7 linked regions of the Canis lupus familiaris genome follow. The protein of the gene in region 1 interacts with the protein of each later gene in a biochemical or structural test. Links are inferred from orthologs where the notes say so. Each region holds a gene or a part of one and is shown in the gene's direction. Other genes may lie near its edges. The genes, in order: UBE2M, DCUN1D5, NAE1, CAND1, DCUN1D4, DCUN1D3 and RBX1.

What was found.
Region 2: the proteins of UBE2M (region 1) and DCUN1D5 form a complex in vitro, tested with the Homo sapiens proteins (3 studies listed by BioGRID). The link is inferred for Canis lupus familiaris from reciprocal best matches to the Homo sapiens genes UBE2M and DCUN1D5.
Region 3: of the proteins of UBE2M (region 1) and NAE1, one has a biochemical effect on the other in vitro, tested with the Homo sapiens proteins (4 studies listed by BioGRID, with this or other methods). The link is inferred for Canis lupus familiaris from reciprocal best matches to the Homo sapiens genes UBE2M and NAE1.
Region 4: the proteins of UBE2M (region 1) and CAND1 form a complex in vitro, tested with the Homo sapiens proteins (2 studies listed by BioGRID). The link is inferred for Canis lupus familiaris from reciprocal best matches to the Homo sapiens genes UBE2M and CAND1.
Region 5: the proteins of UBE2M (region 1) and DCUN1D4 form a complex in vitro, tested with the Homo sapiens proteins (3 studies listed by BioGRID). The link is inferred for Canis lupus familiaris from reciprocal best matches to the Homo sapiens genes UBE2M and DCUN1D4.
Region 6: the proteins of UBE2M (region 1) and DCUN1D3 form a complex in vitro, tested with the Homo sapiens proteins (4 studies listed by BioGRID and IntAct). The link is inferred for Canis lupus familiaris from reciprocal best matches to the Homo sapiens genes UBE2M and DCUN1D3.
Region 7: the proteins of UBE2M (region 1) and RBX1 form a complex in vitro, tested with the Homo sapiens proteins (15 studies listed by BioGRID and IntAct, with this or other methods). The link is inferred for Canis lupus familiaris from reciprocal best matches to the Homo sapiens genes UBE2M and RBX1.

The regions. Positions count from the first base shown.
Region 1 is NC_049222.1:100,125,796-100,130,387, forward strand, and holds the start of UBE2M (NEDD8-conjugating enzyme Ubc12), read left to right. Parts: upstream 1-1,626; 5' UTR 1,627-2,173; coding exon 2,174-2,282; intron 2,283-3,474; coding exon 3,475-3,569; intron 3,570-3,701; coding exon 3,702-3,740; intron 3,741-3,850; coding exon 3,851-3,954; intron 3,955-4,213; coding exon 4,214-4,277; intron 4,278-4,363; coding exon 4,364-4,504; 3' UTR 4,505-4,592.
Region 2 is NC_049226.1:28,900,630-28,904,599, forward strand, and holds part of DCUN1D5 (DCN1-like protein 5), read left to right. Parts: intron 1-2,144; coding exon 2,145-2,253; intron 2,254-2,337; coding exon 2,338-2,442; intron 2,443-3,970. UniProt on the Homo sapiens protein: Contributes to the neddylation of all cullins by transferring NEDD8 from N-terminally acetylated NEDD8-conjugating E2s enzyme to different cullin C-terminal domain-RBX complexes which is necessary for the activation of cullin-RING E3 ubiquitin ligases (CRLs).
Region 3 is NC_049226.1:83,061,711-83,065,680, forward strand, and holds part of NAE1 (NEDD8-activating enzyme E1 regulatory subunit), read left to right. Parts: intron 1-2,672; coding exon 2,673-2,732; intron 2,733-2,820; coding exon 2,821-2,954; intron 2,955-3,970. UniProt on the Homo sapiens protein: Regulatory subunit of the dimeric UBA3-NAE1 E1 enzyme. E1 activates NEDD8 by first adenylating its C-terminal glycine residue with ATP, thereafter linking this residue to the side chain of the catalytic cysteine, yielding a NEDD8-UBA3 thioester and free AMP.
Region 4 is NC_049231.1:10,026,660-10,030,629, forward strand, and holds part of CAND1 (cullin-associated NEDD8-dissociated protein 1), read left to right. Parts: intron 1-1,743; coding exon 1,744-2,036; intron 2,037-3,482; coding exon 3,483-3,624; intron 3,625-3,955; coding exon 3,956-3,970. UniProt on the Homo sapiens protein: Key assembly factor of SCF (SKP1-CUL1-F-box protein) E3 ubiquitin ligase complexes that promotes the exchange of the substrate-recognition F-box subunit in SCF complexes, thereby playing a key role in the cellular repertoire of SCF complexes.
Region 5 is NC_049234.1:45,578,563-45,582,532, forward strand, and holds part of DCUN1D4 (DCN1-like protein 4), read left to right. Parts: intron 1-1,776; coding exon 1,777-1,879; intron 1,880-2,013; coding exon 2,014-2,069; 3' UTR 2,070-3,970. UniProt on the Homo sapiens protein: Contributes to the neddylation of all cullins by transferring NEDD8 from N-terminally acetylated NEDD8-conjugating E2s enzyme to different cullin C-terminal domain-RBX complexes which are necessary for the activation of cullin-RING E3 ubiquitin ligases (CRLs).
Region 6 is NC_049227.1:24,694,643-24,699,261, forward strand, and holds the start of DCUN1D3 (DCN1-like protein 3), read left to right. Parts: upstream 1-1,517; 5' UTR 1,518-1,607; coding exon of another isoform or gene 1,608-1,773; exon of another isoform or gene 1,774-1,915; intron 1,916-2,127; exon of another isoform or gene 2,128-2,319; intron 2,320-2,449; exon of another isoform or gene 2,450-2,617; intron 2,618-4,619. Other genes in the region: LYRM1 (LYR motif-containing protein 1), read right to left, coding at 1,656-1,773. UniProt on the Homo sapiens protein: Contributes to the neddylation of all cullins by transferring NEDD8 from N-terminally acetylated NEDD8-conjugating E2s enzyme to different cullin C-terminal domain-RBX complexes and may play a role in the cell cycle progression by regulating the SCF ubiquitin E3 ligase complex, after UV damage.
Region 7 is NC_049231.1:25,235,767-25,240,175, reverse strand, and holds the start of RBX1 (E3 ubiquitin-protein ligase RBX1), read left to right. Parts: upstream 1-1,328; 5' UTR 1,329-1,410; coding exon 1,411-1,488; intron 1,489-3,397; coding exon 3,398-3,476; intron 3,477-4,409. UniProt on the Homo sapiens protein: E3 ubiquitin ligase component of multiple cullin-RING-based E3 ubiquitin-protein ligase (CRLs) complexes which mediate the ubiquitination and subsequent proteasomal degradation of target proteins, including proteins involved in cell cycle progression, signal transduction, transcription and transcription-coupled nucleotide excision repair.

The DNA.
Region 1 (4,592 bases):
ATCATCTGATGGGCCTCAGAAATTGGCCCGAGGTAAATGACACATAGTTTAGACTGACCAACAGGCAACACCCCCAAGACTTTGGCCGGAAACAGAATATGGTCATCAACCCTAATTTGGCAGTGGCCCAATAGATATAACATAGATAGGAAAAGCAGAGTGGCTGAGAAGAACAGAGAGGAAGGGATAAAGGAAGAGGAAGACTGAATCTGGAAGGACCATCTGAGTCCCATGACCAGCCATGTCTGAACCGAAAGAACACTGAGATGGCTGCAATGTCAACCCCAAACTTGAGCTGTTTGATGCTTCTGAGTCCCAGTTCTCATCCTGGGACCTCTCTAGCACTTAACTCTCAAAGGAGTCAAGAAAGGATGCTGGAAATGCAAGGCTAGAATAACAGGACAACCAGAAGAATGAAAGGAGTGTGGGAGATGGTGGCATTGTGAATGGAAGGGCCTAAAGAGGTAGCAGTTGCAGAGACACGGCTGCGATCAGTCCGTGGAGCCCAGGGACCTCAGTGGTACCCGAAGACCCACAGGGTAGGGCCTCTAAGGAGGCTAGGGCCAGCCCAAGATACGAAAAGGTGGAGGTGACTTCCTGAAGCGAGGATACGTGTCGAGATGGACGCCAGGTCGGGTCTGAGGAGGCGCAGGGCATGGAACGGCCACTCCCCCGAGGGGAGGACTGCGAGCCTGGGCAGAGGTCGACGGCTGAGAGGACCCCGTGAGCACCCCTGCCCAGCCCCAGCGCTGGCTCAACCGGACCGCCAAAACTACTTGTTCCACAACGCTCCAGGTGATGACGGCAGGTGGCCTCAGAGACAGACGGGGACGTACAGCGGGAGCCGCACTGGGTCGCAGAGGTGCTGAGAGACTGAGCACCGGCCGCACCCACCCACTGAGCGCGGTGCCGCGCTGCACACCCGCCCGACCGTTTCCATGGCGACAGCCGGACGTCATAGAACCGCCCCACGCCGCGTCCTCCCGCCCTCCGAGGCACGCTGAGCTGTGTGCGATCGTTGTGGAGGCTGGCCACACAGCGGAAGATCGCAAAGCGTGTCCGCTGGGTCTCGGGACCTGCTCCGAGAGGGTCCCCGCCCCACGTCCCATCTAGTGTCCACCCATGTAATCTCCCAAAGTGCTTACCACTAGCACAATACGCGTTTTATTTACTAGTTTACCTCATCCAGAATCTCCGCGAGCCAGTTGCTTTTGCGATGGGACATCGAGGTTGCTCGACCCCGCACTCTCTGAGTAAAGGCTATGGCCTCTCCGGGCTCTGGCCCGCCGTGATCACCTTGCCTCTGTGACCTCCAGGGGCAAGGACCTCATGTGACCCACCCCCACCACAATCTGCAAGGGTGGGCTGCCTACGAAGTGACCATCAACTGCCCTACTTAAAGATGGCGGTGGCACCGCCATTGACTGGACCCGCGAGCGTCCCCGGAAATGACCGCGGGACAGGCGGCACAAACGGAAATACCCGAGTCCAGCCGAAAAAGTCCGAATATTAAGACCTATTGCTGAGCAACGCGGGGCGGGGGTGGCGGCGGCCGTGGCGGCGGCGGCGGCAGCGGCGGCGGCCGCGGCGGCCGCGGCGGCTGCTGCTTCTGCGCAGGCGCATAGCGCAGGCCGGGCGAGAAGAGCCGAAGAGTGCAAGCGGCGGAAATATCCGAAGCGGTGGGGCGCCCGAGGCCGTTGCGGACCTCTGCGCCGAAGCCGCTGCTGCCGCGGAAGCCGAGCCTTTCTAGTACACGGCAGCCGCCACCGCGGCCGCCGCCTCCTCCTTCCCCTCGAGCCGCAGCCCCTCGCGGTGGGAGCAAGTGAACAGACAAGCGGCGCGGCCGCAGCTGGGCCTGAGGGGACCTAAGCTGGCGAGGGGGAGGAGGAAGCGGCTGGCTGGGGGCGGGGCCGAGCGGGCCCGAGAATAGCCGAGTCGGCCCGAGCGCCGCCGAGCGAGCCCGAGGCGCCGGGCCAGGCCAGAGCCGGACTACGGGAGCCGACGCGGGCCGCGCGGTGGGCGCGGAGCGGCGCGGCAGGCCGGGCGGGCGGCAGCAGCAGCGGAGGAGGCCGCGAAGGCGGGTTCGAGTGGCGGAGGCGGCGCAGGCGGCGGCAGGGGGCCGGGTGGCCGGGGTCCCGGGCCCCGCAGCGGCGGCAGCGGCGGCGGCGGCAGGATGATCAAGCTGTTCTCGCTGAAGCAGCAGAAGAAGGAGGAGGAGTCGGCGGGCGGCACCAAGGGCAGCAGCAAGAAGGCGTCGGCTGCGCAGCTGCGGATCCAGAAGGGTAGGGGGTCGGGGGATGGGGGTGGGGGTCGGAAGTCAGCGGCTGGGATGGGGTGATGTAGGAGTCTGGAGTGAGTTAATGCAGTCACCGGGGGGTCAGAGATGTCAGAGATGTGGCCGCAAATGTGGAGGTAGGAGGTTAGGGCCTGGGTTTCGGTGTGATGGGGGATCAGGGGTGAGTAATGCAGTCACCGAGGGGTCAGAGATGGGGGGCCGAATGTGGGGCACTTACAAGACTCGGAAAGCCAGGCATCTTGCATTGGGGACCAAGAATCAGAGAGTCAGGCAATGGAAGGCGAGTAGGAACCTGGGGACTCCACAGAGTATGAGAACATGGGTGATAGGCAGAGGAGATTGGATAGTGGGGGCCAAGGATTGGAGATAGGAGTAGGAGAGGATTTAGTGAAGTATATTGGGGTCATTGGGAATCAGAGTGAGATGGAGTGAAGTAAGTTTTGGGCACTGCGATTTGTGGGTCTGGGGGGGTCACATGGCAATTTGGGGTTTGGGGTGACACGTGGAGGAGGGAAGAACAGTGTGTGCTGGGGACTGGAGATGGGGGTAGGGTTAATTTAGACTAACATGCTGGGTGCTGGGAATCTTAGAGGCAATGTTTAGAGGGGGTACAGGAATGGGAATTCACATGTCTGAGGGTTGGATGGGTACCTGAATTTAGGATGACAAGCAGAGGAGAGGAGGGATGGTGGGGACGGCATTGGTTAGGGGCAGGGTCCTTGGATTTGGGTGGTCAGGTGGGGACCAGCAGTGTCTACTAGAAAATGGAGGTCATGGCCGGGGATCCTGGTGTTTGGGGTAGTTGTAGGCTCTTGGGGGGCCACACAGGGGTGGGAGTATTTGGGGGCTGGGGGGTTGGGTACGCAGCTGCTGGACGCTGAGACTTTAGGCTGTGGATTCGGAAGAGTTGGAACTTATCCCGGGCCGGGAGCTAGAGCATAACCACAGTTTACAATTCATGTTTGAGTTGTGCTGTGGATCTAGAAGAGCCTGCCTGGAGACTAGAAAGCAGAAAGAGTAGGGAGAGGGTTGGGGGTGTGGGGCACAGCCCAGGACAGAGCCCTGAGGGTCCTGGAGGAGGCCATGGGTGCTCTCCTGGCACCTGCACCTCCGAATGCCCTTGTCTTTCCATCTCCCTTTCCCTCTCATCGTTCCCCTTCTTTGCTATGCAAACCCAGACATAAACGAGCTAAACCTGCCCAAGACGTGTGACATCAGCTTCTCAGATCCAGACGATCTCCTCAACTTCAAGCTGGTTATCTGTCCTGATGAGGTAAGGGTACACTTAGTTGGACTCTGAGGCATGGGCCAAGGGGTCTGGGAGAGCACTTTGAGTTGGGAGACTTAGTTTACCTGCCAGGCGCTGCAGGATGATGTCCTAACACTTTCTTCTTTCTCTTTGCAGGGCTTCTACAAGAGTGGGAAGTTTGTATTCAGTTTTAAGGTGAGTCCCAGGTGGGCAGGGATACCTCCGTGGCTGAGGAGGCAACAGCTGAGGCCCCAGCCAGGCACTGCTGGGGCACTTTTCTATCTTCTCTCCCTTCTTGGAGCCAGGTGGGCCAGGGTTACCCACATGACCCCCCCAAGGTGAAGTGTGAGACGATGGTCTATCACCCCAACATTGACCTTGAGGGCAATGTCTGCCTCAACATCCTCAGGTGAGGGCTGTGACTTTGGATTGCACAAGTCTCTGTCCCTTCCTTCCCTATTGTGGTCTGTGGTCCTCTGTCTTCATCTCCATGTTTTCTTCCTCAAGTCTTGACCTTAGCTTTCTCCCTGGCCTGTCCTGCTGTGCGCCCTCCTCCTAGCCTCTCACATCTGCACTGTCCCGTGCCCTGGAGCTGACTTGTTCAGTCCCAGCAGGCTCTGTGTTGGCCATCCACTCACCAGCCCCTGACCTTGATTCTCCCTCCACAGAGAGGACTGGAAGCCAGTCCTTACGATAAACTCCATAATTTATGGCCTGCAGTATCTCTTCTTGGTGAGTAGGGGTAGGTGGGGAAGGCTGGGGAAGGTTGGCCCTTTCTGCTTTAAGGGCCTGTTGACCCCCACCTATACCGGCCACAGGAGCCCAACCCCGAAGACCCACTGAACAAGGAGGCCGCCGAGGTCCTGCAGAACAACCGGCGGCTGTTTGAGCAGAATGTGCAGCGCTCCATGCGGGGTGGCTATATCGGCTCCACCTACTTCGAGCGCTGCCTGAAATAGGGTTTGCGCACACCCACCCCTGCCAGGGCCACCAGCCCCGGCGTCCCCTGCAAATATTTATTGGGGGCCACAGGTGGGGGGCATGGGT
Region 2 (3,970 bases), on another chromosome or scaffold:
TCAAGGGTCACCCTTGCTTAGTGTCCCCCCTCTCTTCTCAGACTCTTAAACCTAGTATCTTATCTCTTCTACACCTCTGAAATCATCTTGTGAGGCATCAGTGATAAGTGGAGAATCCGTATTCATCAGAACTGTGGTAGAAGTTAAAACTGTACTTAGAAGAAAATCTGTAGCCTGTTACACTAAAAGAAAAAAAAACCCCTTCATCCCCATGAACTAATATGTGATTTAAGAAGTTAGAGAAAGGATCAACCTGAAGAAAGAGAGAAGAAGATGTTCAGATATTAGTAAAACAGAAAGCAAAGCTGTTAAGAAATTCTGGCAAGATGATTAAGAAAAACAAAAAGCATAAATAAACAGTAATGTATATTAGAAAATGTTATAAACATAATCATCTTTAAATAAAATTATATGTGAAATAAATTCTCAGAAAACTATATCCATGATCAGTTAATTCAAAAAGAAATAGAAAATCTGAATGGTCCTATAACCATTAAAAATGCTGATTGAGTGGTTAAAAATTCCTTCCCAAGGTGAAAAGACCTAGGTGGTTTCTCAGCTGCTTTTGGACAAATTTTGGACAAATGCTAATTCTAGTATTCAGTAAACTTTCAGAAAACAAAAAAACGGTACATTATTTCACTTTTCTGAGGTTTGTGCTATGAGTTTGTTATCAAAATTAGTAAAGAGGGTGTGAAAGAATGAAATTTACAAGCCCATCTCTTTTATGAACATAGCCAAAAATCTAGCAATATATGAAACAGGTAGCATTACCCAGTTTGGCTTATTCTAGGAATACAAAGTTTAATCAACTTTAGAAATTTATCCAGAATATTTACACCTTAATAAAATTATGAATCACATGTCATATGGATTTAGAATAGTGAAGGTCTCAGTTAAATCTAAGCATGCTAGATGTCTGCTACGTGATAAGTACTGAAACTCAGATTTGAGTAGGATATTGTGGGTCACAGTAGATGGACCCTGATTTAATGGAAGGGAGTCCAATGGTCTGTCCGTGATGGCAAAATGTGAGTTAGGTTTTGGCTAGTGATATTTTGTGAAAATGTTGGAGGGAACACACCTCAGGTAGAGGCAGTAATATGCGCTAAAGCATAGCTGTGGCATTTGTGAGGGGTAGGTGAGCTAGAGCATGACAAGTATGGGGACCTGGCAGGGGATGAGATGAGTTGTGTGCCATTTGTGAAAGGTGTCCTCCACTCTGCTGCTTGCTCAACATTGGAGCATCTGTCAGCCCAGTGAGTCAGAATGCCAGTGAAGATCTTTGAGAAATCTGTTTGCTTTTTTATGTTTGGTATCTTATCTTTAGAAATAACATGGATAACTTGTTGGTACTCATTCGTCTATGTACCTAATTTGAGGTCAGGTACTGCCACTAAATATTTACTTTGATTTTTGTTACTAAAAATGTAGGAATCTGAATCTATGACTGAAGCACTAATGTGTTAATTTTCCCTGTGTTATATCCCAGACTTTTTTTTTAATTTTTAAAGATTTTACTTATTTATTTGAGAGTGAACGCGAGAGAGAGCGTGAGTGGGGGAAGGCAGAGGGAGAAGCAGACTTCCCACTGAGCAGGGAGCCCATTGTGGGGCTTGATCTCAGGACCCCAGGATCATGACCTGAACTGCAGACAGATGCTCAACTGACTGATCCACCCAAGCATCCCTATCCCAAACTTTTAAAACCACTCATGACTAATCTCTTTTCACCAGCCTGGTGCTTGAGAACTTTCCAGTGAAATATGTGACAGAGGCCTGATTAATTTCCTTTGTTCTGCCATCTTTTTAAACCTTACGTGTGGTTAAAGCACATTTTTATATGTCTCAAGAGGTATTTGTGATTTTGCTGGAGCTTTTCATTAAATTGTATTTTTTTTAAAGGAAAATCATTTAACTGAAATTTCATTGATTGCCAGGTTTTCTCTGTTTTTTTTTTCTTTTAATTCCATTGGTAGATACAAGGCAATTAGTTAATAACTCTAAGTTTGTGAATCAGAATTTTAAACCTAGGTTAATTTAATGAATGCACTCACTTTTTTCTTAATGCATTCTTCTAACCCCTTAAAGATGCTTTTATTAATTTTCTAGATCGTATAATGTATTTGGTTTTTTTAATTTAAGGTGTGACTGCACAGAAAAGTTACAGAACAAATTTGACTTTTTGCGCTCACAGTTAAATGATATTTCTTCGTTTAAGAATATCTACAGATATGCCTTTGATTTTGCAAGGGTAGGTGGAATTTCCATATTTTGTAATTTTAACCTTTATTTAATCTTGAAACCACACTTAGAAGAATTTTTCCTTGTATTTTAGGATAAAGATCAGAGAAGCCTTGATATTGATACTGCTAAGTCTATGCTAGCTCTTCTGCTTGGAAGGACATGGCCATTGTTTTCAGTATTTTACCAGTACTTGGAGGTATGTATGTTTTGTTTTTTGAAAATATTAATCTGATTAATACTAAATTTTAATTTTAAAGCTCAATCTGATGGAAACTATACCTTTTGATTGAGGAGAAACAAAATAGATCTTTGGATCCTGTGCTTTTAAAAAAATCTACTTTAGTAAAAAGTTTCTGTTAAAATGTGTGTGTGTATGTATGTATATATATATATAGAGAGAGAGAGAGATTGTTATTTTTAGATGCAAGTTCATGTTCATCAATATAGTCTGTAGTGAGATACTTCAATTCTAGCCCTGCATCCCCCCCATAAAAAAAGCAAGTAACCTTCAAGAAATACATTTTAGCAAAGACACTCTTCATGAAAAATTAGTTTCTTGGGTTTTGGGCAGAAGAGAGATGCTAGTGTACAAATTTCAAACTTCTAAATCAGGTTTCTTTAATACAAGATCATAAGCTGAAATCTTCATAAGGGAACCAGTTGTAGTAATAAACTCTCCTTTTCACTTAGGTTCAATCTAAATAATTAGAATTAAAATATTTTATGTTCACAAATATGAGAATGGCTATAATCCTGTACTTGAATGTACTGATGAGTAAAGAATGTATACTGACTTCATGGAGAAAGTATTCTTTTAGAAAGTTTAACACAGCACCCACTGCCGGCAGTGGTTCAAAGATAATGTTCTTTTTTCATTTGCATTTCTTTGACTCTCTGTCTGTTTTTGTGCCCTTTTGATTTTAGGGGTTTTCTTGAATTACAGATGCTTTTGCTTTTTGCTTTGAAAATGATACCTCATAAAGCTGATTATCCTAGCACATTCCTCAGAGTAACTTTGTTTGAAGCTTCTGATAAGAAGCAGTGATATGGAAAGGACTTAAGTGAATGGGTTTCATGTACATTTATTTACATCTTTAAGCCTAATAAAGTGGGCGTAATGAAGGCTAGTAAAACATATTTTTGATGGATGTTATCAATCTTCCTTGTTAGTTGTTTGGGACAAAAATAAATAGAACTGAGTGTAAAAGTATTCACCTCTAAGGAAGCTGAGAGAACTAAATATTTTTTAACACTTGTTATGTGGAGGGTGTTTGACCAACAGTGTTTCTTAAAATCTTTATAATGCTGTTTCAAATTATGCATTAACCTCCTTCAGCAAATGAAAAAATGGGCTCTGTTGTTAAACAGTGTTCCCAGGGTCCCTCACGTAAGTAGAGAAGTGGGGTTTGAACCCAAGCCAGTACTCTTTCCACAGCCTGCAAAGATGTCAACTTCAAAATGTGGTTAAACAGTAAATTTTATCGAAGAAGTGATGTTCTGGGCAGCAGCATGAGGGAGCTTAATGTGTGTCATATACATCATAGATCTTGATTCCAGGGTTGTTTACATAGGTATATACATGGGTAGACATCAGATTTTACCGTTACTGGTAGTACCTTTGATACTCCTGTTATTTCTCTAAAATGAAGGAAAGATAAAGGAAAATGTAAATTGGATAATGTTAACATGTAAATGTCCCTGAGACTTTTCTTAGAAGCATCAGT
Region 3 (3,970 bases), on another chromosome or scaffold:
GCCTGATGCCAGGCTCCATCTTGTGACCCTGAGATCATGATCTGATCTGAAATCCCAAGTTTAGTCCTTAACTGACTGAGCCATCCAGGTACCTTGATTTTAGATTTAAGTAAATATTTCCTAAATTGTAAAGTTGTTAGAAATTAATATTTATAATATGGATTGAATCTTATTTTAAAAAGACTCTGCATCATCCTTGTTAAAATGGATGTCAGTGCTTCAGCATATAATAGTGTTATTTTTTTATTTATATAAATTTTTTTTTAAACATTTTATTTATTCATTCATGAGAGACAGAGAGAGAGGGAGGCAGAGACACAGGCAGAGGGAGAAGCAGGCTCCATGCAGGGAGCCTGACATGGGACTTGATCCCAGGTCTCCAGGATCAGGCCCTGGGCTGAAGGCAGTGCTAAACCGCTGAGCCACCCGGGCTGCCCTAAAAAATAAATATTTATATAAATTATTTGAAGTACATGATTTGTGAATAGTCACAGTTTGGGTGTAGGAATTATATAATGAGGGTGATATTTTGCTGGCCCAAAATAGTACTGCCTGAAAGTTAAATCTTACCCTGCATTTTCTCGTGACAGTAGTTGTTTGGCTATAATGTTCTTTTTTTTTTTTTTTTTTTTTTTTTTTAATGTAGGATGTTCTTTTTTTTTTTTTTTTTTTAAGAATTTTATTTATTCATTCATGAGAGACACACCCAGAGAGAGAGGCAGAGACACAGGCAGAGGGAGAAGCAGGCTCCATGCAGGTAGCCCGATGTGGGACTTGATCCAGGGTCTCCAGGATCACACCCCAGGCTTCAGGCGGCGCTAAACCGCTGAGCCACCGGGGCTGCCCTAAATGTAGGATGTTCTTAATGAAGTTGTAAAATATTATTTGGAGGATGACTCAGTTTAGATGCCCTTTGTTTTGTTGTTACAGTCTTACCAGTGAAGTTTTTGGGAAATTTCAATAACACAACTGTTTTTTTTTTTTTTAAGACTTTATTAATTTATTCATGAGAGACACAGAGAGAGAGAGGCAGAGACACAGGCAGAGGGAGAAGCAGGCTCCATGCAAGGAGCCTGACATGGGACTTGATCCCGGGTCTCCAGGATCACGTCCTGGGCTGAAAGCGGATGCTCAACTGCTGAGCCACCCAGGTGTTCCCACAACTGGTATTTTAAGATAAGAATCTTTTTATGGGCAGCCTGGGTGGCTCAGCATGTTAGTGCCGCCTTCAGCCCAGGGTGTGATCCTGGAGACCCGGGATCAAGTCCCATGTCAAGCTCCTTGCATGGAGCCTGCTTCTCCCTCTGCCTGTGTCTCTGCCTCTCTCTGTCTCTCATGAATAAATTAATAAAATCTTAAAAAAAAAAGTAAAGTTTTAAAAAAGAATATTTTTATAATTTAAAATGGTAAAAAATGCTGCCTTTCACATTAAGAAAGCACATCAGCTGTCATTACAAACTTTTTGGAGACGATGAGGTAGTGTTGTGAATAATTAAAAGTGTATTCTTTGTCAGTTTTCTGGGGTGATGAAAATTTTCTATAGTATCTTAATTGAGGTGATGATTAGAAGGACATGCATAGTAATCAAAATGCATCAAGCTATACCTTTAAGATTGATTTCACTGAATGTAAAATTTACCCTGATTTAAAAGAAAAAAAAGTTCTCCTAAGAACTTTTTTTTTATTAGTAAGCTTAGAAAACAGATAAATATACCAGGTGCTATCAACAAAATTTGAGCTGAGCAGAGCAGAGGGGTAGAGCATGAGGATGAGGAGTTCTAGGATCAGGAGGGGGCTGTTGAGATGTTTTGAGCAAGGAGCGGAGTGACCTGATTTATATTTCTAAAAAGTCATTCGGGCTCTTGCGAAGAGAATAGACCATGGGGAACTGGAAGCAGAAGCAGAGAGACCAGTTAGGGTTACCAGTAAGAAATTTCTTTTTTCCTCACAGCTGTAGAATCAAAGCCTACAACTTCTGTAGTTGTTATTAATGCATGATGATTTTGCCAGCATTAGAAGTACTTATTTAACTATTTAGTTTTTTTCAGAGTTGTTGTCTCCAATAGTTACTAACTTAGGGTGTAAGGGTTGCAAATTTTTGACAAGATGGAGACACACGAAGGACTACAAATCTAGCTTACTAGTAATGTCTGAAATCTTTGTTATATCTTCAAATGTAACTATATGGAAAGATTTACTTTGACTCTTTTTTTACTCCATGTATGATGGAAGAGAACAGGTCAGTCTTTAATGGTGTCAACAGTGGGCAGGAAAGGACTTCCTTCCATTCTCTCTTATCTCTTCAAATCTCTGTCTAGTACTGATTCTCAATAAAAGTCTAAGCACAGGGGCATCTGGGTGGCTCAGTCAGTTAAGTGTCTGCTTTTGGCTCAGGTCATGATCTTAGGGTCGGAGGATCCTGGGATCTCGAGTGGGGCTCTGTTCTCGGGGGAGTCTGCTTTACCTTCTCCCTCTGCCTCTTCCCCTCATCCCACTTGTGTGCTGCCTTTCTCTTTCTCTCAAATAAATAAAATTTTTTTTTAAAGTCTAAGCACATCAGAAGTTTGTATTTGATTAGAATGTAGCAATTCAAAGAACTTATTTGGGGAAATACTGAAAATATAGATGGGCACATTCTTAGAATAAGTAAATGTTTTGTGTTCCTTTGTTAGATCCCAAGCAGTATTGAAGATATATTTAATGATGATCACTGCATAAATATCACCAAACAGGTAACAACCAAAAGTAAATAGTGCCCTCTTAACCTTTGGGTCAAATTCAGATGCCACTTAATACTAATTTTTTTCCTTAATCTTTTAGACTCCATCATTTTGGATTTTAGCTCGTGCCTTAAAGGAATTTGTGGCCAAAGAGGGTCAAGGAAATTTACCTGTTCGAGGCACAATTCCTGATATGATCGCAGATTCAAGCAAATATATAAAGCTGCAAAATGTGTAAGTCACTGTTTTCAAACTATGTTACTGAAAAATTGACCTGTTTATAGTACAGATGAACATATTTTACCACTCTAATGGAATTCAAATGCAAGCCGGTCACAGTTTCTTTAAAAATAAGCTAAAAAACTTAGTGGGCAGATTTTTTAAAATAGATTTTACTTTTGGAGTAGTTTTACGTTTACAGCAAAATTGAGCAGAAAGTACTGAGTTCCCATGTACTGACTAGGGGGCAGATTTTTTTTTTCATATTTCATGATAAAAACCTAATACTTGAGCACTTAACTCTTTGCTATGAACCACCCTATGTATTAACCGATTTACTGTTTACAACAACTCTATGAGAGAGATGATAATTATCCCAGTTTTATAGATGAAGAAACTGAAACATCGAAAAGGTAATTTATTCAGTCAAATAGCTGGGAAATGGCAGAACCAGGATTTGAATCCATGAAACCCAGCTCTATACTCCTTTTTTTTTTTTTATTTTTTTTTTATTAAGATTTACTTATTGGGGTGCCTGGGTGGCTCATGTAGTTGGGCATCTGCCTTCAGCTCAGGTCATGATCTCAGGGTCCTGGGATTGAGCCCCACCTTGGGCTCTCTGTTTAGCGGGGAGTCTGCTTCTCCCTCAACTCTCCCTATGTGCTTTCTCTCTCTCTCAAATAAATAAATTAAATCTTTTTAAATAATAAAAATAAAAAGATTTATTTGTTTTTAGGGAGGGGGGAATGGGGCAGAGAGAGAGGGAGAACCTCAAGCAGACTCCCCACTGAGTGCAGAGGTTGAGGCCCTGGGTGGGCCCTGACACAAGGCTCAATCCCATGACCCCAAGATCATGACCTGAGCTGAATCCAAGAGTCAGACACTCAACAGATTGTACTCCCCAGCTCTATACTCTTAATCATGGCCCTATAGGAACTTTTATCTGTAACTTAAAACTTTGAAGTTTTTAGTTTGATGAATTTTTTATCATAATGTTTCATAATTTAAAGAGTTTGTGACGAGATAGACAA
Region 4 (3,970 bases), on another chromosome or scaffold:
GATAGTGTTTGACACACAGAAGACATTCAATAAATACGCTATATTAATGAAGGGGTTATAATAGAATATCCTTTGAAAAAAGCAGAAGCAGTATATATTCCCATTTTTGATTGTTGGTTTTTAGTGTGCCAAGTACTTATATTAAGTAAATAACCAAGTCCTTCAGCTGTGTTATCAATTTGCATTGATTATACCTAATAACTACCTTTCCACCATAATGTTACTATAACATAAAAGTAATATAATTTCAGTGATTAGGGTATTTAACGTTTAAATAGTCCTTTTTTTCACTTAAGTATATTTTTGCAAAATAATTCCCATAGTTGGGTTGCCATGGGAAAAACTATTTGCATTCATTTATTTATTTATTTATTTACTTACGAGAGAGAGAGAGAGAGAGAGAGAGGGGCAGGCAGAGACATAGGAGGGAGAAGCAGGCTCCATGCCAGGAGCCCGACATGGGACTCGATCCCGGGACTCCAGGATCGTGCCCTGGGCCAAAGGCGGGCGCTAAACTGCTGAGCCACCCAGGGATCCCAACTATTTGCTTTTAAATAGTCCATTTTGATATAGTACCTTGTATAAGTCAAATGTGTTGGGTTTAGTAAGTATTTGGTTGGGTTTTCCTGTAATATGCTAGGATGAAATTAAGTAAACCTTCTGGAGAATGGAAAATTTTATTACATAATCCTAGGATTTTTCTAAGGCATAGATAGCTACGTTTAGCTGTCACTAAGCTAAGTAGAATATAAGCCAGCGAAGAGATGACATCTTTTTCCTCCAGTGAGGAATCTGCATTTCAGGACTATAATCTTACCTAAGAACACCAAAATTATTGTTAGATAATTTTAGACCATCCTGAGAACTGCTAATATTTTTGCCATCCCCCTGACTTTGTTACTACCCAGCTGATTCAGCCTTATGGCGGTAGAAGGAAATAATTTTCAGAGGTTTCACACACAATGAAAGTTAACGTAAATAAGATGGAGTCAGTAGTGTTGGAACATTGTTCTAAGGATTCACAGGAATTTGGAGAAGATGGGCTCTCTTTTTACATGGTGCTTTGTTGTTAAAAGAATTTATTTGTGATTGAGGAAGTATAGTTTCTTTATACTACCTTAAGAGAGTATCTTGAAAGGTTAAAAATACACCTAGTTTTTTCTAATAGCCCATCAACAAATTTAGTGAAAACCCTTTTAGCCATAAGGAAAGCTCATGTCAGGATTTTCTCCCCAGCATGTCCTGGGATTGATAGCTGTGCTTTTTTTTAAACACCTCATCTGTAGTCACAGTCTTATTATTTCTTGATTTATCTTATTAACTCCTTGATTGTTTGATTTTCCTGTGGTATTAGATGAGTTCTTTGAAATTCTAGTCATAATTGTTTAAAAGGCTGGGACACTTAAAATTTTACAAATATACATGAAACTTCTTTATAAATTAATTAATCATAAAGACTGATAAGCTACTCATTACCCACATAAGTGAGAAGATGGTTAACAAGTTTAAAACAGTTGTGATTCTTTTCTTTTCTTTTTTTTTTTTTTTTTTGATTCTTTTCTTCAGAGGTTAATTTATGTGTAAATTTGTATAGTCTTAAGTCCTTGTTCTTTTAAAGCTTCTCTATTGCTGTATGTTAGTGAAAAATCTTAAAACTGAGTTTGAGTATCTGTTCACTTTCTCTATTAAACAATAAACTTTTTCCATGATTAATAGCCTGTTAACATTAAAACTTCTCTTTAGGGAGTGATGATGAATACAGTGACGACGATGACATGAGTTGGAAAGTGAGACGTGCAGCTGCCAAGTGCTTGGACGCTGTAGTTAGCACAAGGCATGAAATGCTTCCAGAATTCTACAAGACTGTCTCCCCTGCACTGATATCCAGATTTAAAGAGCGTGAAGAGAATGTAAAGGCAGATGTTTTTCATGCATACCTTTCTCTTTTGAAGCAAACTCGTCCTGTACAAAGTTGGCTATGTGACCCCGATGCCATGGAGCAGGGAGAAACACCCTTAACCATGCTTCAGAGTCAGGTCAGTTTAAAAGTATGGTTGAAAGTCATGCCTGTAACTACAAAATTTTAAAATTGTTTTTTTTATATGGAAATTGAAGTCCCAGAACATCCTCGGAAGAGCAAACTTCTAGGATATGTTTACGTAGTAGTTTATGTACATTCATACTATGTTACTTGTAAATAGTTTATTCTGATTTGAAGTATTTTGATTTTACTAGATAATAATTTTAAGATTCAGTAAAATTATCTTTGGTGTTAACAGAAATCTTAGAGCTGCGGAGTCACACTATTTGTGTTCATACCTTGCTTCACTCCTAATTTAGCTGGTGTGATCTTGGACAAGTTAGTCATTTTATTAAACCTCACTTTTCTCATTTGTAATAATGGTTTATTAGAACAGCCTACCCATGGTAGTGAGAAATGAGATGATCTATGTAAACATTTAGTGTGGTGCCTATTACATAGTAAGTACTTATGTATTTTATTAATAACAACTGGCATAGATATTTTTTGCTTTAGTACATCTTTTCTAAGATTCTAACGATTAGAGCTCTATAGCTCCTATGTATTGAATATTTAGTGCCTGCTAGGCATTTTCCTATCTTAAATATAATCCCTACAGCAGCCCCATGGCGTATGTATTTGTTCATTTTTATAAATTACAGAAACAGATGTTGGGGAGGAATGAACAACTAACCCGGGGGAGATGTACATATTTGTCTTGCTTTCAAATAGTACAAATTAACAACAGAAAAGTCATGGTGAACTTAAAGGTGAACATTGAAAATTAATTGTAGAAGGAAATGAGAAAAGGGTATAGAAGTCAGGTAAAAACATGGGCAATTCAAGGGTTGTGGTAGATTGTTCTGCAAAACATGGGCAATTCTGATGAAGTGATGAATTAGGTGGTTTTGTCTCTAGCTCTCAGATCACTATCTGATATGGGTGTGAGGATACATACAGACACATACCGTAAGATTAGTATAAATAACTCAGTTTTGGTTTTACCAACTAACAAGACGTTAGAAAGTTTAGAAGCAGGTGTCTTTGAATCATAACCTTGCTGCTTGTATTTGAAGTGAGATCTATTTCACTGTGAGAGCAAACTAAAAGCTAAGACAAAGACCCAATTTAATGGTTTCTTCTCCATAATTTGTCACTTTTCTTTTAATGCATATCTGTGCTATTATTTGGTTTGATTTCTATTTAGTCTTGTGTATTTCATAATTAAATATTAATCAAGGAAAACTTCTTGCTCTGTAGAAAGTTAATGATGGCTTTTCTCTATTATCAGTATAAAGCAGATAGAGTTACAAGAGACCACATGTTGTAATAGGTACAACAAAATTTGTATCAAACGGTCATGTTAAATTCTTCCCTCTCTCCCCATCCCTGATAATTTATGTTAAGTGTACCGAGGAAATACCAGTAGCTGAACCAGCTAATAAGTGTGTGATAATTACAGGTTCCCAACATTGTTAAAGCTCTGCACAAACAGATGAAAGAAAAAAGTGTGAAGACCCGACAGTGTTGTTTTAACATGTTAACTGAACTGGTAAATGTACTACCTGGGGCGCTAACGCAACACATTCCTGTACTTGTACCAGGTATGAAAAATAGTTAATCACTTTAGGGATTTACTACAGACTTTATTAAGTCTTTGATAAGCTTTAAACAATCATTTCCTTCAAAAAGGTAACTTGTACAACTTAATTTGCACGTAAAAACCGTTTTAAACACCTGAAGTTAGAAATTTTCAAGTAAAAAGTCTAGTCTTAAAATTTTTGGCACTGACAGTTATAGATTATGGAGTTTCTATTATTTTAGAGGTAGTTTGATGAAACGGAAACTTTAGTAATATTTTAGGGATTAGTTTTTAATTTTTTCTTTCCTAGAACTACCTAAAAATTATTGGACTTTTCTCATTGACTTTTTTAGGAATCATTTTCTCAC
Region 5 (3,970 bases), on another chromosome or scaffold:
CACTTTCGTTAAAAGAACAGCCATCTGCCTTCTTACTAAAAGAAGCTTGTCATGTGTTGTTATCCACTCTTGTCCCCGAGAACATGGGGACCTAGGTCAACCTAAGTGTGAGGCAAACTGGCAATATCTCCCTCAGTTTCAGTTTTCCTTCATGTTTGCGATAGAAGAAAATCCAGCACTTCACTGTTGTTGCTTGCTCTAACTATTAATGATCCAAAGTTTTGAGCTGCTGGTTTATCAGGAGCTGGTTTTGATGCCAGGTGATACTGTAGGACCTGGAAATGTCTGAGATGGGAGTTTGAGCTGCTTGGCTTGTCTCGTATCTTGGCATCTTTCTTGCCCTCCAGACCCAAACCCCTTACAAAGCACCCTCTGCCCAGAAGGATGAAGGTGCTGGGTCTTTGAGAAAAGCTTGGGCCCTACCCTGACTCCGGCCTCCCTCTTGCCACCCTCTTTCTTACAATTCACTTGACACACTGGTCCAGAAGAACTTCCAGCTGACCGGATTCTTTGAGGACTGTCACTAAAAATTGCTTTTAGCGTCACTAACCAGGACTCCTCAAGACAAGTCTGGAAACTAGTTTTACTGTACGAGGTGTTTACACGCCAATCCACGTCTACAGATGATCTGTTCTGATTTCTCTGGTTATCCCATGAAACATCAGCTTTCTTTGGAAAATGAGTAGAAATAGGTCCTTGTTCTCAGGGGATAGCAGAAATCTGAGCCCCAGCGAGAGGAGGAATTTTTTTTTTAGCTGAAAGACCTTGCTGTGAGCAAGTCCGACTTTGCACAATTGCAGGAGCATCTTCGGCTGTCTCTGACTGGTGTTTGCTTTGAGTTGCTTAGAGTCAAACTTGTAGTCCGGGCTTTGTTCTCTCTTTTACGTTAGTTTGCTTTTTTTCTTTTCAAAGGACACCGCAGTCCTTTGGTTTGAGCTTCTCTTGCGTCTGTGTCCCCAAACCAGGGGCTCAGCTCTCTTAGTTTTTTTACCTACTCGTGCTATTCCCCGGTGTTGCTGAGTTTTCATGGATAGGATATAAAAACTGTTGAATCTGGGTTTTATTTTTCAGTCTTTATACAGGAATTGTGTACTTTAAAAAAAGTAATGCCTCTGGCATATTTCTTGTCTAAGAGGAATAGGAAAACTACTTCATGGGTCTTCTAATTTATTACTTTGAAGATGAGATTCAGGTTCTGAGTGATTAGAACAGTAACTTTTTTCCAACGGCCAGAGCACCTAGTGCTGAGACCGCCGGGAGCCCTTGGTGAGTTCCCGAAGGGTGCCTCGCTGCTGGGTGTGCTTGACGCTGACAGCTTGACAGGGAGCGTGCTGATCAGGGCAGGGGTTATTAGTGGGAGCTACTCTTTATTTAGCACCTGCTTTCTGCCAAACACTGAATGAAGTACTTTACATAAATTATCTCTTTTAATTCTTACAAGATCTCTATGAAGTAGGCTAATTATCTCTCTCTCTGTGTCTCCTTTTAATAAAAGGGCTTTGGCAGTCTAGAAATTTCACTTCTAGGGATAAAAATCATGTTTCTTTGATGTGCTTGTCATTTTGTGTTGAGCCCTCATGGTATTTTTCTAATGGAAATTGTCATCTTAAGTTCTACTCTTGCTCTCTCTCATCCTTCTCCCAGATTGGTGCTTAGCATACCTCAAATGGAAAGAGTTAACCTTCATGAACTTTATTAAGTTGATTCATACAGCAGTTGAAACCGTGCCATTTGTTAATTGTGTCAGTAATTCATATTACTTTTCCCTCCCATCAGCAATCAAAATATAAAGTTATTAACAAAGACCAGTGGTGCAATGTGCTAGAGTTTAGCAGGACAATTAACCTTGACCTCAGCAACTACGACGAAGATGGAGCGTGTAAGTACCGGCGCTGGGCGCTCTCGCACACGCACCCCCACCCCCACCCCACCCCCATCGCTATACATTCGCACACCCTCCTCACTGGGAAGAGCCTTATAGCCGTGTTTTTTTTTCTCTCTCTCTCTCTTTAGGGCCAGTTTTGTTGGACGAGTTTGTGGAGTGGTATAAAGACAAACAGATGTCCTAGGACTTTATGCATAGCAGCGAGAGAGTCACTGTTACCACAGATATGTCAACCATTAGCCATAAATTGCTGTTTGTATCAAAGCGCATGCTGCTTTTCTTGCACTGTCTCCCTTTTGCAGGGACGTTTTGGTGTTTGCTATTGAATGGGCCAGCTCTGCTTGCTGTGTAGCATTGTTCTCTTGGAAGGCTGCTTTGCAGTTTGTATTTACACTACAGATTGGTGAATTTGCCAACGTCCTCACTGTGATGATGTGTATATTGCTGTTTAAATTTTGTATATGTGTATAAAAAGAAAAAGCTTCACCTAGAGATTATTTCTGCAAAACTGTATTGTAAAAATAATTTTTGTGGCATATTTCTAGTCCCTTTTTTCAGATGAACCGATTATACTTTATTTGGTCTCAAATGTAGCATTTCAGAACACAAGAGAGAACAGCTGTTACCATAAGCAAATGTTGCCAGAATTAACCTCATTGTTAAAGAGGCCAACTTTTGGAAGGAGGTGGGAATCAGAACTTTTCCAGAGGCATATGCCAAATATAATTTGATTTCCTTAAATATGAGCGTTTTTTAAATGATGAAAGTTACAATTATTTGAGCATATAGACTTGTCCCACATGCCACAAATGATTTTCACCACGCAAGGTGTAGGTTTCTATTCTCTGATGTTAAAGCCGTAGTAGTTTGAATATAGGTACAAATGAACAAATTAAAATTGCACCTTTTTTTAAATGAGTTTGAAACTCTCGTAAACTTCCTTTACGGTCTTCTTTTTCCTTTTGCATTCTCCTAGTCAGTGTTGGGTCTGCCGATGCTTCCCGTGCCATTCAAGTAACATTGATTTTGCCTCCTCCGCGGAAACCTAATGGTTTGCTGGCAGTTTGTAACCGCAGAGCACTTTCAGTTGTGGTTTGGATTTTTAGTTAAGCTTTCATGGTGTCTAATTTTCTAATTTTTCGGAAAAAAGAACTATACTGTAAGTGAGAGGTGTTTTCTTTTGTTTTCTTTCTTTCATGCTAGGCTTTTCCTGGCAGGATGTCCATTGCAGGCAGTGGACACGAAACCACCAGCATTGAGCTAACTTTATTACACAGTAGGACCTTTCCTGGAGGGGCCACTCGTCATTCATTACCCGAGTAATTTGTACAGAAAGGTGATAGCCATTATTTATGTGGATGAGGAAACAAGAGTAAACAGGACGGTATTTTTAGGTTTGTATTTTGTGTCTTTTTTTTTTTTTTCCTTGCCTTACCCTTCTTGAGGAAATGTCTAGATAACATGTTTTCCCCTCAACTATCTGGTGCTATTGAATGACTAATTTAGTCCCTAAAGTTTTGTGAAAACATAAAAGTCTAATGATTTAAACCAAGTAAAAAGCTAATGGTGCATTTGAACAAGTGAATGCTGTAGGTGTGAGCAAGACCCATGATGGAATAATGATTGGAAGAGGTTCGGCTTACTGCAAAATCTGGCCAAAAAAATCTTTCGGATTAAATGTGAACCTTTAAATGGCATTAAATGAGTAAAGCACACAGACAATGCTACTCCTGACCACTATTTCACAGTTTCTTTGCAAACAGTGTTCAGATTTTCATATTATTTTTTTCCCCTAACTGAACCACCAAAGACAGAAAATTTTGTATGTATATACGGTGTGTGTGCATATACAAGATCATGATAATGGTAGAAGGAAATCACTTCCTTTTTCTACCAAATAGAAAGGTGTGGTTTGCTGTGAAATAAACCAGAAGTGTGGAAAACTCTGTAGTGATTAAGCAGACTTAATCATTCCTTGCTTAGGAACTGTAGACTCGCCTCTACCTTACAACTTCATACCAGTTTGCACAAATTAATATCTGAAGAGAATAGAAGATGTTGATGGCAAAGCACAGCTCTTGGGAC
Region 6 (4,619 bases), on another chromosome or scaffold:
ACCCAGGCCTTCTCATACTTCTGATATCCTTTCTAGATTTTACGAGATTAACCATATCTAGATTGTGGCTGACAGTTGGCAGCAGCAGTGGGACAAAAGCCCCTTTGTTAGAGTTGTTGAAGTCCATGGCTGCTATCTTATGAATAGTGTTCCTACCTAGCCATAACTACACAGTGGGCCCTATGGGCAAAGCTCTGTACCAGGAGCCAGAAGGACGCAAAGAAGAAATAGCCCGTGGGGGAGTCAGACATATGAACAATTAACAAGCAAAGTCAGCCTTGCTGTAATGGACACAAATCACCTGCGCACAAGTCCAAAAGCACTGACAGCTGGGGTTGGAAGGGAAGGAAGAGATTTGAGCCAGGGCTTAGAGGATGAATAGAAGCTGGATAGTGGGTGGATGAGTCTCACTGATTATGAGAGTCTCATTATTGCGGGATATTAAGGGAGCCTTCTTTTATCTCTGAGGCCTTATCTGTGTCAAGGGTCTCCTTTCAATTGTTTTCCCCTTAGGAGTCATCCTTGGTCCCTCCTCCTCCCGTACACTTCACTACCCAATCCAGCAGCAAGTCTTGCAAGCTCTATTTCCAAAATGCATTCCGAATTTAATAATCTGCATTTCCACTGCCACTACCCATCTCTCCCTGGGCCTGGGGCAGCAGCCTCCTAACAGGTCTGACAACTTTCTACCCTACTCTAGCCAGCAGCCGAGTGATTTTTTTTTTTTTTTTAATGTAAATCAGGTCACTCCCCTTCTCAAAACCCTCAGGTAACACAACAGCCAAACCTTAACCTTGGGCATTTAGCTGTGCATGATCAGGCCCTCCCACTTCTCCATCACAGACCACTCCAGCCCGTGTTCTTTCAGTTCCAGCCACCTGGCTTTCCCGCCGTTTCCCTCCTCAGGACCCTTCCTGTTGGCTCTCTTCTCCATCTAGAAAAGTCCACTCCCTAGCTTCTCTCCTTTCACGCATCTCCGTGGAACTCTGGCCTTATCTGAAAAGCCTCACCCCACCTGGAGTGGCCTTCCTCCCACCTCCTACCGCTTCACACCCCGTATTATGGTCTTAGGGGGGCATGTCGTACTTGCTGATATCTCCTTACTGACTGACATTTTAACTTTCTCCCGGACTCCAATAAACAGTCACGGAGCAAGGCCTCCGTCTCGTTCTCGTTCGCGGACCGAAGCCGTTTAAGAAGCAGGTTCTCACTACCGTCCTAGGAAGCCTCCGTGGCCTCTACGGGACCTCGTTTGGGTCAACCTTCCCCAGCTTGACGCCTCTCGCCCCCGGAATTGCCCCTACTGATCTCACATTTACATTCGGGGATCCAAAGGATTCAGGAAAAGTCTCTGTTGGGCCCCAAACCGGCATCTCAGCTGTTCGCCAAACAGGCCTCCGCTTCCTGGCCCTCGGGCCGCTTCCCCCGGCGGGGTCCCGAGGCCGGTGGCGAGGACAGAGAGCCGCCCTCGCGAGGCTGGGGTCACACAAGCGCGTCTCCTAGCAACGTCGCACCCCCGCCCCCAGCCCATCCCTGCCCCTGGGGAGTCAACCCCTTCCCCCAAGTCTCCCGCGCCAGGAGTCAGCGTCTCCATCCCCTACACTCACTCTGCGTCAGGCCTGCCTTCCCCCACCCACAGAAGCGCCGCAGCCTACCGCGGGCTAGGAGGAGGCGGCGCCGGGAGCCTTGCTGAGCCGCGGCCGACGCTGGTCGGGCAGGTCCGGTAGGCCAGGCCGGACTAAACCACCGGGGGGGGGCCCTCCGTGGAACCATTAGTTCCAGGTCAGGGATGGTCTCAAGTCTCCCTGAAACTTCATACTCTAGCCCACCCTCCGCCGTATACCCAACAGTATAGCCAACTTCATCGTCTCCCTAGTTTCTCTTTACCCCTTTTCGCTATCCTCCCCCACCCCCACTCTAGCCAAAAAATGATCCAGTCCAACTCCTCCCAGCCCTCCCTCCGCGTCGCTAGTTCTTTGCCCTTACTTGGCGACGGCTTCGTACGTCCGTGCGTACGTCGTGACGCAATCTTCCACCCGTTCCTCCCCGCCCCTCTTCTATTCTCTCCCTCCCGGAGCGGGCGGCCTGCGGGGTTACCGGAAGTGATGATGCAGGAGGCGATGGAGGGGGCGGGGCTTGGGGGCGGCCGCCGCCGGTGGGCCGCAGATGAAGAGGAGGCGGCGGCAGTGGTGGAAGAAGAGGCGGCGGCGGCGCGGGTAGGGATCCTGGAAACGCGAGCGGGGATGGTAGGTGGTTTGGACCCGCCGGGCCGCCGTCGTTTCCAGAAAGGGTTTGACTGGAGGAACCTCTGGAGCAGCTGTGAGTTTTGGGGGGGGGTTAAGGAAAAGCGGGGAGCATTGAGAGATGAAGGGGCGGGGGTTGGGTACCTTCGAGAAAAGGGGGTGGAAGGGGAGGAGTGGAAATCAGCGCCTTGTCTGGACTGGTCCTTTTGGAAGAAGAGGCTGTGAGGGGAGCCTGTGGCGTGTCAGCTGCAGGGCGCAAGAAAACTTGCCTACTGTCCCTGCCTCGCCACCGCCAGCACCCCTCAACCCAGGCCTGGGGATCTGGGGGCTGGAACAGCCCTGGAGAGGGTGTCGACTCTGGTCCTATGGCCCGGGTAAGCTCTGTGAGGTAGGAGTCCAAGCGGGAGGTGGTGGGTGAATCTCCGGCTCCCTCCTCCCTCATTTTCCTCCCCACCCCCATCCTTCCCTTTAATCATTAACAGCCCTGGAATTAAGGGGCTCAGACCTGAAGGCCTTTCTGTGCACCTTTGCTATAAACGATAACCATCTGTGCCTGAGGTAATGGGGCTGGAAGCTTTGCCTGTATCCTGTGTAGGAAGTGGGACGGGGTGACAATGTATTGTTTTTTATTTTTTTCCATTCCCCTTTCCCCCTTATCTTTCCTCATATACACCCCTCGTTTCCACCTCAGTTCTCTGTGGCTACGTGGTAATCCTGGTGTTTTTTTTTTTTTTTTTCTTTTCCTTTATGGCACTTGGTACCTTGGTTACCTCTTTTGAATTTGGTGTTCAGCCTCTCCCAGATCTTCCTGCAAGCTTTGTAATACTTCAGTTACAGGCTATGTCACATTGGGAGTACCTCTCAATGCCTGGTAGCTCCAAATTAAGATGAGCATTTTCTCCTATGAATACTGGGATTCCAAAGCCCTTGCAAGGATTCCTAAATGGCATCATAGCCCAGGAATCAAAGTCTCTTGTTCTAAATACTTTGTGTGTGAGGAATTTACATGTTGTCAACTCTTTCCAAAATGATTTGATGTTAGGCTAATTCTGGATTTCTGTGTTTCTCTCCACCCACACTTCATGATGCACTTCAGAGAACAGAAAACCCCATATTACTTTTTTGTTTCTGCAATTGGACAATAGCTCTTTTATCTTTTTCTCTATTCACACAAGTCTTCAGTGACACTTTTGGCTTGTGCTGATTTCTGTCTTATGCTCTCATTTATTTAGCTGATTCTTTGTGTATAGACGGACTTAAATGAGAAAATGTGATTTGTTTAAAAAAAAAAGTACAAACCAATAACAAAAATTATTTGAAGAAAGCAGAGAATGACTGGAAAGAAGATCTCTATTGATGTTCTGTGGGTTTCAAAAAAAAAAAAAAGTCACCAAGTAGTCCTCTTTTAGCTTGTTGTAGGAATTTCAGAGTGAAATGTAATGGTTCCTATTTTGATGTTGATATTTTCTTTGGTAGTCCTCTGTTGAATGCGGAACTGTGTTTTCTGAAGAGCTTTAAGAAATAGTGCCTACATTTTAGAGGTCCTTTGGTTAGAAAGTGTCCATAACTCCTGGGCCTCTATAACTGAATTTATGATGCGTATTGCTAGAAGAATTATAACGGATCCCATCCTACTCATCAGGGCTTTCAGGCCTGATAAAACGATGTTTAATGCTTTGATTATACAAGTAACAACATCATGTTTAGATGTTTCACAGAACTGTAACAAAAGAAAAGAATGAGTACTATTCTCACCTTAATTGATTTGGAACCATTGAATATAAAGTCAAAAATTCATTCATTCAACAAGCATTATTGATTAGCTAGTAAGAGCTAGCCAGTATTTTGGGCTGTGGTTGACAAAGGTGAATGCAGGCATAAGGTCTGAACTCTTATGGCGCTTATACTGTAGTGTGTGGGGCAGAATAAATAAGCGAATCAGACTTTGCTAAGTGCTGAAGTACAGGGATATGACAAAACATGTCTAATCGGGATGCAGTCAAAGAAGACCTTTTTAAGGAGGTGACCCTTAAGTTGAGCTTTGAATAAAAAGAAGCCGGACATGCAGATATATGGGAGGAGCCTTCCAGGTTCCTGGGACTAGCTAGTGCAGAAACTGGCAGGAATGACTCTGGCAAGTTCTAGGGCTTGGGAAGAAAGGGGTGAGGTGGAGGAGGGGGAGGGTAGAGAGGTGAGGGAGAATGGGAAAGGGGAGTAACAGCCAGAGCCTCGTGAACAAAAAGGAAATGAAAAGTTTAGGTCAGAGAGGTGGAGGCTGGGCTCAGAATAGGTAGGCAAAATAAGAGCAAGAAAAAGGAAATAGAAAGTGGTGCTCCTTTTTGATCAGTTCTGTTTCCTTTCTTGGAGCATTATGAC
Region 7 (4,409 bases), on another chromosome or scaffold:
GTTTAATGAAGGTTAAATATACACTTAATACGTTAACTTACTATGGGTTTTTAGTATCCCGTAGGGGCCTTTGGGAACACAATCAATTAGATGACAAGAATCTTAACATGGAATTATCACTCTAACAAAATTTGGGCTAAGGAAAACTTTGTAGGGTTCCTGTAACGTTTTAAGGTCTCACACAATTTTTCTCTTTCCAAGTCTGGTGTAAGCCCTGGTGGTGTTTTCATGGATTTGTTGTTCCTGTTTATGACTAAGGCAAGGAAACAAATCGCAGTTCTTCCGGTTTGGCAGTGGAGTCCATACACTCCATTATGCTCCAATTTTCTTTCAAGAGAAAATACGAGATTCCAAATAAGCCAATACGAGATTTAGGAGTGATCTAGCCGAGTCATACCTCTGCAGGGTTAGAGAGCCACAAGGGGTTCCGGGTGCAGACATGAAGTACAGGTGCTTTGGCTGGGAACGACCAGTAAGAATCAATGGCCAAACGCCTCACACAAAGTCAAGTAGGACTGCAGTGTGCCCACGGCGCAAGGAGCGGGAAGAGGATGGAGATCAGGGAGAGGGGACCCCCACAGTTAGGTGGCCAACTGAGGAACAGGAAAGGTGTGTTAAGAGTATGTGAAACTGAAACCCTGCGCCTTAACCAAAGGGCATTCTAGCACGGATGGCGTTTGGGGCGGGCGGGCGGCGGCATCCCCGAGGCTCCAGGTGGGCAGGTTGAGGCAGGACGGGAGAATGCCTACGCGGCTGGGCCCTGGAGAGGACATTCGGGGAGCTCCCGGCTCCCTGTCGAATCCCGAGCATTTCCCGAATCGGAATCAGGGACCTAACGGCGCCTGGGCCCGGCTTTCCCAGCGAGGCTGCACGTCGGGCCTGGCTCGGAAGCGAGCCGAGACCCGCGACACTGCGGGGTCTCCGGTTTCGGCTGCAGGAGGCGGGGCGCCCGCCCTGGCCGCTCCCCGGGCGGAACGCTGCGGAAGACCCGCCGGCGCTGGAGCGGTGCGGCAGCGGGGAAGGCGGGGCGGGGCCGGGGCGGCAGGTCGCGGCCGAGGCGGAGGAAGCAGCCGCCGCCCCAGCCGAGGGAGCGCGGCCGGGGGCTTCCCGCGGGAGGAGACTAGTCTTTCGAGCGTTTCCACCCGGTTCGAGCACGTCGGCTCGGCCCCGCCCGGCCCCGCCCCGGCCACCGCCTCTTCCCCAGCCGACTCGGGGGCCGGCGGCAGGAAGGAGGAGGGAGGGACCTGCGCCAGCGCCTTTAAGAGGCGTGGCCACGTGCTCCGCCCCCACCTGCCCCTCGCGCGCCAGTAAGGGGCGGGGTGCGAGAGGAGGTGCCGGGCCGGGAGGGGGAGCGAGGCGTGCGCTGGTGCGCAGGCGCAGTGGCCGGACGACGGACCGTGTGTTTCCAAAATGGCGGCAGCGATGGATGTGGATACCCCGAGCGGCACCAACAGCGGCGCGGGCAAGAAGCGCTTTGAAGTGAAAAAGGTTGGGTCTCGCCAGCGCCTTCCTCAGAGAGGCTAGAGAGGCGCGGATCTGGCTGGCAGGCCCGAGGATGACCGAGGCGCGGAGGAAAGGGCTTCATTTCAGGGCGTTCCTGGGACCGGGTACCAGGAAAGGAAGCTGGGGGGCGGGTCTTAGAGTTGATCGGCGTGACTGGGGCCCACTACCAATGGCAGTATTGGTTTCACTAGGAGTCTGAGGGGCCAATCACAGAGGCGCTTGTTGAGATGCGCGGGGTTGAGACTTGGCTGAGGGAGCCAAGCGCCTGAGCTGTCACTGGAGTGGTGGAGGGGTGGGGAGGAGTGGGTGGGGTGGATGGAAGGGGGAGTCGGAGCGCTGCGGTGGGTGGAGGATGGGGGCAGTGCGGCGAAAGCCGGGACCTGAGTTCCTACCGCAGTGGAGGCCTTTGAGGAGCCCGGCTGGTGATCTCCTTGCCCCGCCCCTTCCCGAAGCTCGGGGTCCCTCTGACTCTGAGGGACCCCAGCCTGGTCCTCGCCTCCTCGAGGCCTCCCTCAGCCCTCTCTCTAGTCCTCGCCCCCGCCGAGTTAAAGTGTCTCCAGTGTAACAACTCTTGGCTCTTCTGAGAGGTCTGTTGGTTTGTCACACAGCCTCCACAGTCCTGTGCTCGTTTCCAGAATCCCTCTGTCCAAAAAGGAAAAGGGGGGGGGGGGGGGGAAAGCATGGTGGAATTTGTTAAAAAGAAAATGCGAGCCCAAACCTTGTGTCATTTAGGAAGGGTTGAGTACTAGTGGCGAACGACCTGGTGACTGTGGGAAAGCAAAAATGTGGAACGTGTCTTTTTGCATGAACTGCTTTATAGTGGTTTGCCAACAGTTTGGGAGGAAAGTGCCGATTCTCACATGATATAAAATAAATCTGTTCAAAATGAAGACTCAAATAGGGGAAATGTTATTCCTGGAACATCTGGCTAAACACTGACAATATTCCCCCCTCCTAGTGCTTTTTTGGTGTTTCATTGTGGGCACTGCATGCTCAGTTACAGCCAGCAGCCATATTGAAGAATAGAAATAGGGTTTTGTTGTGTTTTTTTTTTTTTTTCCCCCGTTCAAGTTGAAGCTGTCGGAAAGTGCTAAAGAAGTTTAACTAGACGGGGAATTGCGTTCGAAAGAGATGAAGGTTTTGGAAGTGGCACCAAATTGGTGGATGAAAAGGGAGTTTGGGGATATTTATAATTGCAGAAGCCAGAAAGGTTGAATTACTTAAATACCGCTTTTAAATGAACTCTTAAGTGGAATTATCTGAACTAAATAGGAGCCTGAGCTTGTAAAAGTTTAGAACACCAGTTTATTTGATGGAAGGAACTAACCAAAATTTTAGTGAATTCTAGAATTTGTTGTGAAATAATCTTGTGAGATTTAAGTGATGACCTTGCTCTGTACTGACACTGGATAATTAGTTATCCAGCTTATCCCACGATTACCCATTTTATGATCCAATCATCATCTTAGTTCATTCTGTCCCCAGCTTTCACCTCCCCACTCATACCTTCACAGCTGCCTTGAAGAGCGTATATTTACCTTTGCAGAAATTCAAATTTGTGCTTATTAAGCCTAAAACAGGCTCTCAAAAATTATTCCCGGTTTTCTTACATTGATACAGTTGACTAAATTATTGTAAGCTGTAGGAGAAAATAAAGAGGATTCATTAATTTATGTTCATATACTCAGCCTTTTGGAAAATGGGTGAGCACACTTGTAGTCTGCTGTTGCCCTCTGATAAAATGAATAAGAGTAAGGTAATATCCCCAAGCTCCTGTGTCTGGTGGTCCTTGTGGCCAAAGAGATGATAACTGTAGCTGCAGCATGAAATCCTAGAGTGTGTGTACGCCTGTGTTACAAGGAGAGTGCATTGTTCCCCCTTTTTCTCTTTGCAGTGGAATGCAGTAGCTCTCTGGGCCTGGGATATTGTGGTTGATAACTGTGCCATCTGCAGGAACCACATTATGGATCTTTGTAAGTAACTGGAGGTGGATGGGAGGAAGTTGAGAAGGTTACAGAGATTGTGGCTATTCTGATGTGACCAAATTTCTTCCCAAGGAGATATAAAGCATAGTCAGAACACTTGGTGTCTTCTGCCTCTAGTCCGTTGGTATGTTTGAAATAGAGTAGATTTAATGATATCCTGGAGACATACTCATCTCTCAGAATAAATCTACTCAGTCTAAAGATGGCAAGCACACATTTAGAATGAGTTGTGGACACAGAGGCACTGTTGATTATTCCTCTATATTTCCCATCTCATACCCAGACTCAAAGGCAAAAATAGTGAAAGGAAAAAAAAAAAATAAACTTTGAGCTAAAATATTCTACCAAAGCTAGTTTTTGCTTGGCAAGATTTATAAAGAAAAGAAGCCAAAGAAGTAAGGAATTTCAGTGTTAGCCCCTAAGTTAAGAGGACATCGGTGCCAGCATCTAAATAGACAACTAATTGCAGTAAAGAAGTTTCATTTAAATCTACAGATTCCATCCCATATAGTAGCCAGTATATGGTGGGTTTGATTATAGCTATCCGTGGACTCCGTGTCCTTATAGTAATAGGGGCAAGTATGTTGATCACACCAGGAACAGCTGAGGTTACTTTTTCTTCCAGGTACTGAAATGGTTTGTTACAGAGATCAGATATGAGATGAAGAAATTTCAGCTTTGTAGAGTTGCATTTACAGGCACTTACTTTGAAAATTACTCACCTGCCTCTCCAGCTTCATCTTGCACCACTCTCCTGCTCACTCTGGTAGTTTCTTTGGCTTTCTTTCCATTCTCGAAGTGTCCGTGCTCTTTTTTAGAGCCTTTAATATGCCCTGTTCCCTTTGCCTGGAATATTCCCCTTCTCCCCACTACCTTTGCCTGACCCACTACTGTCCAATCTAAATATGAGCCACAAATGCA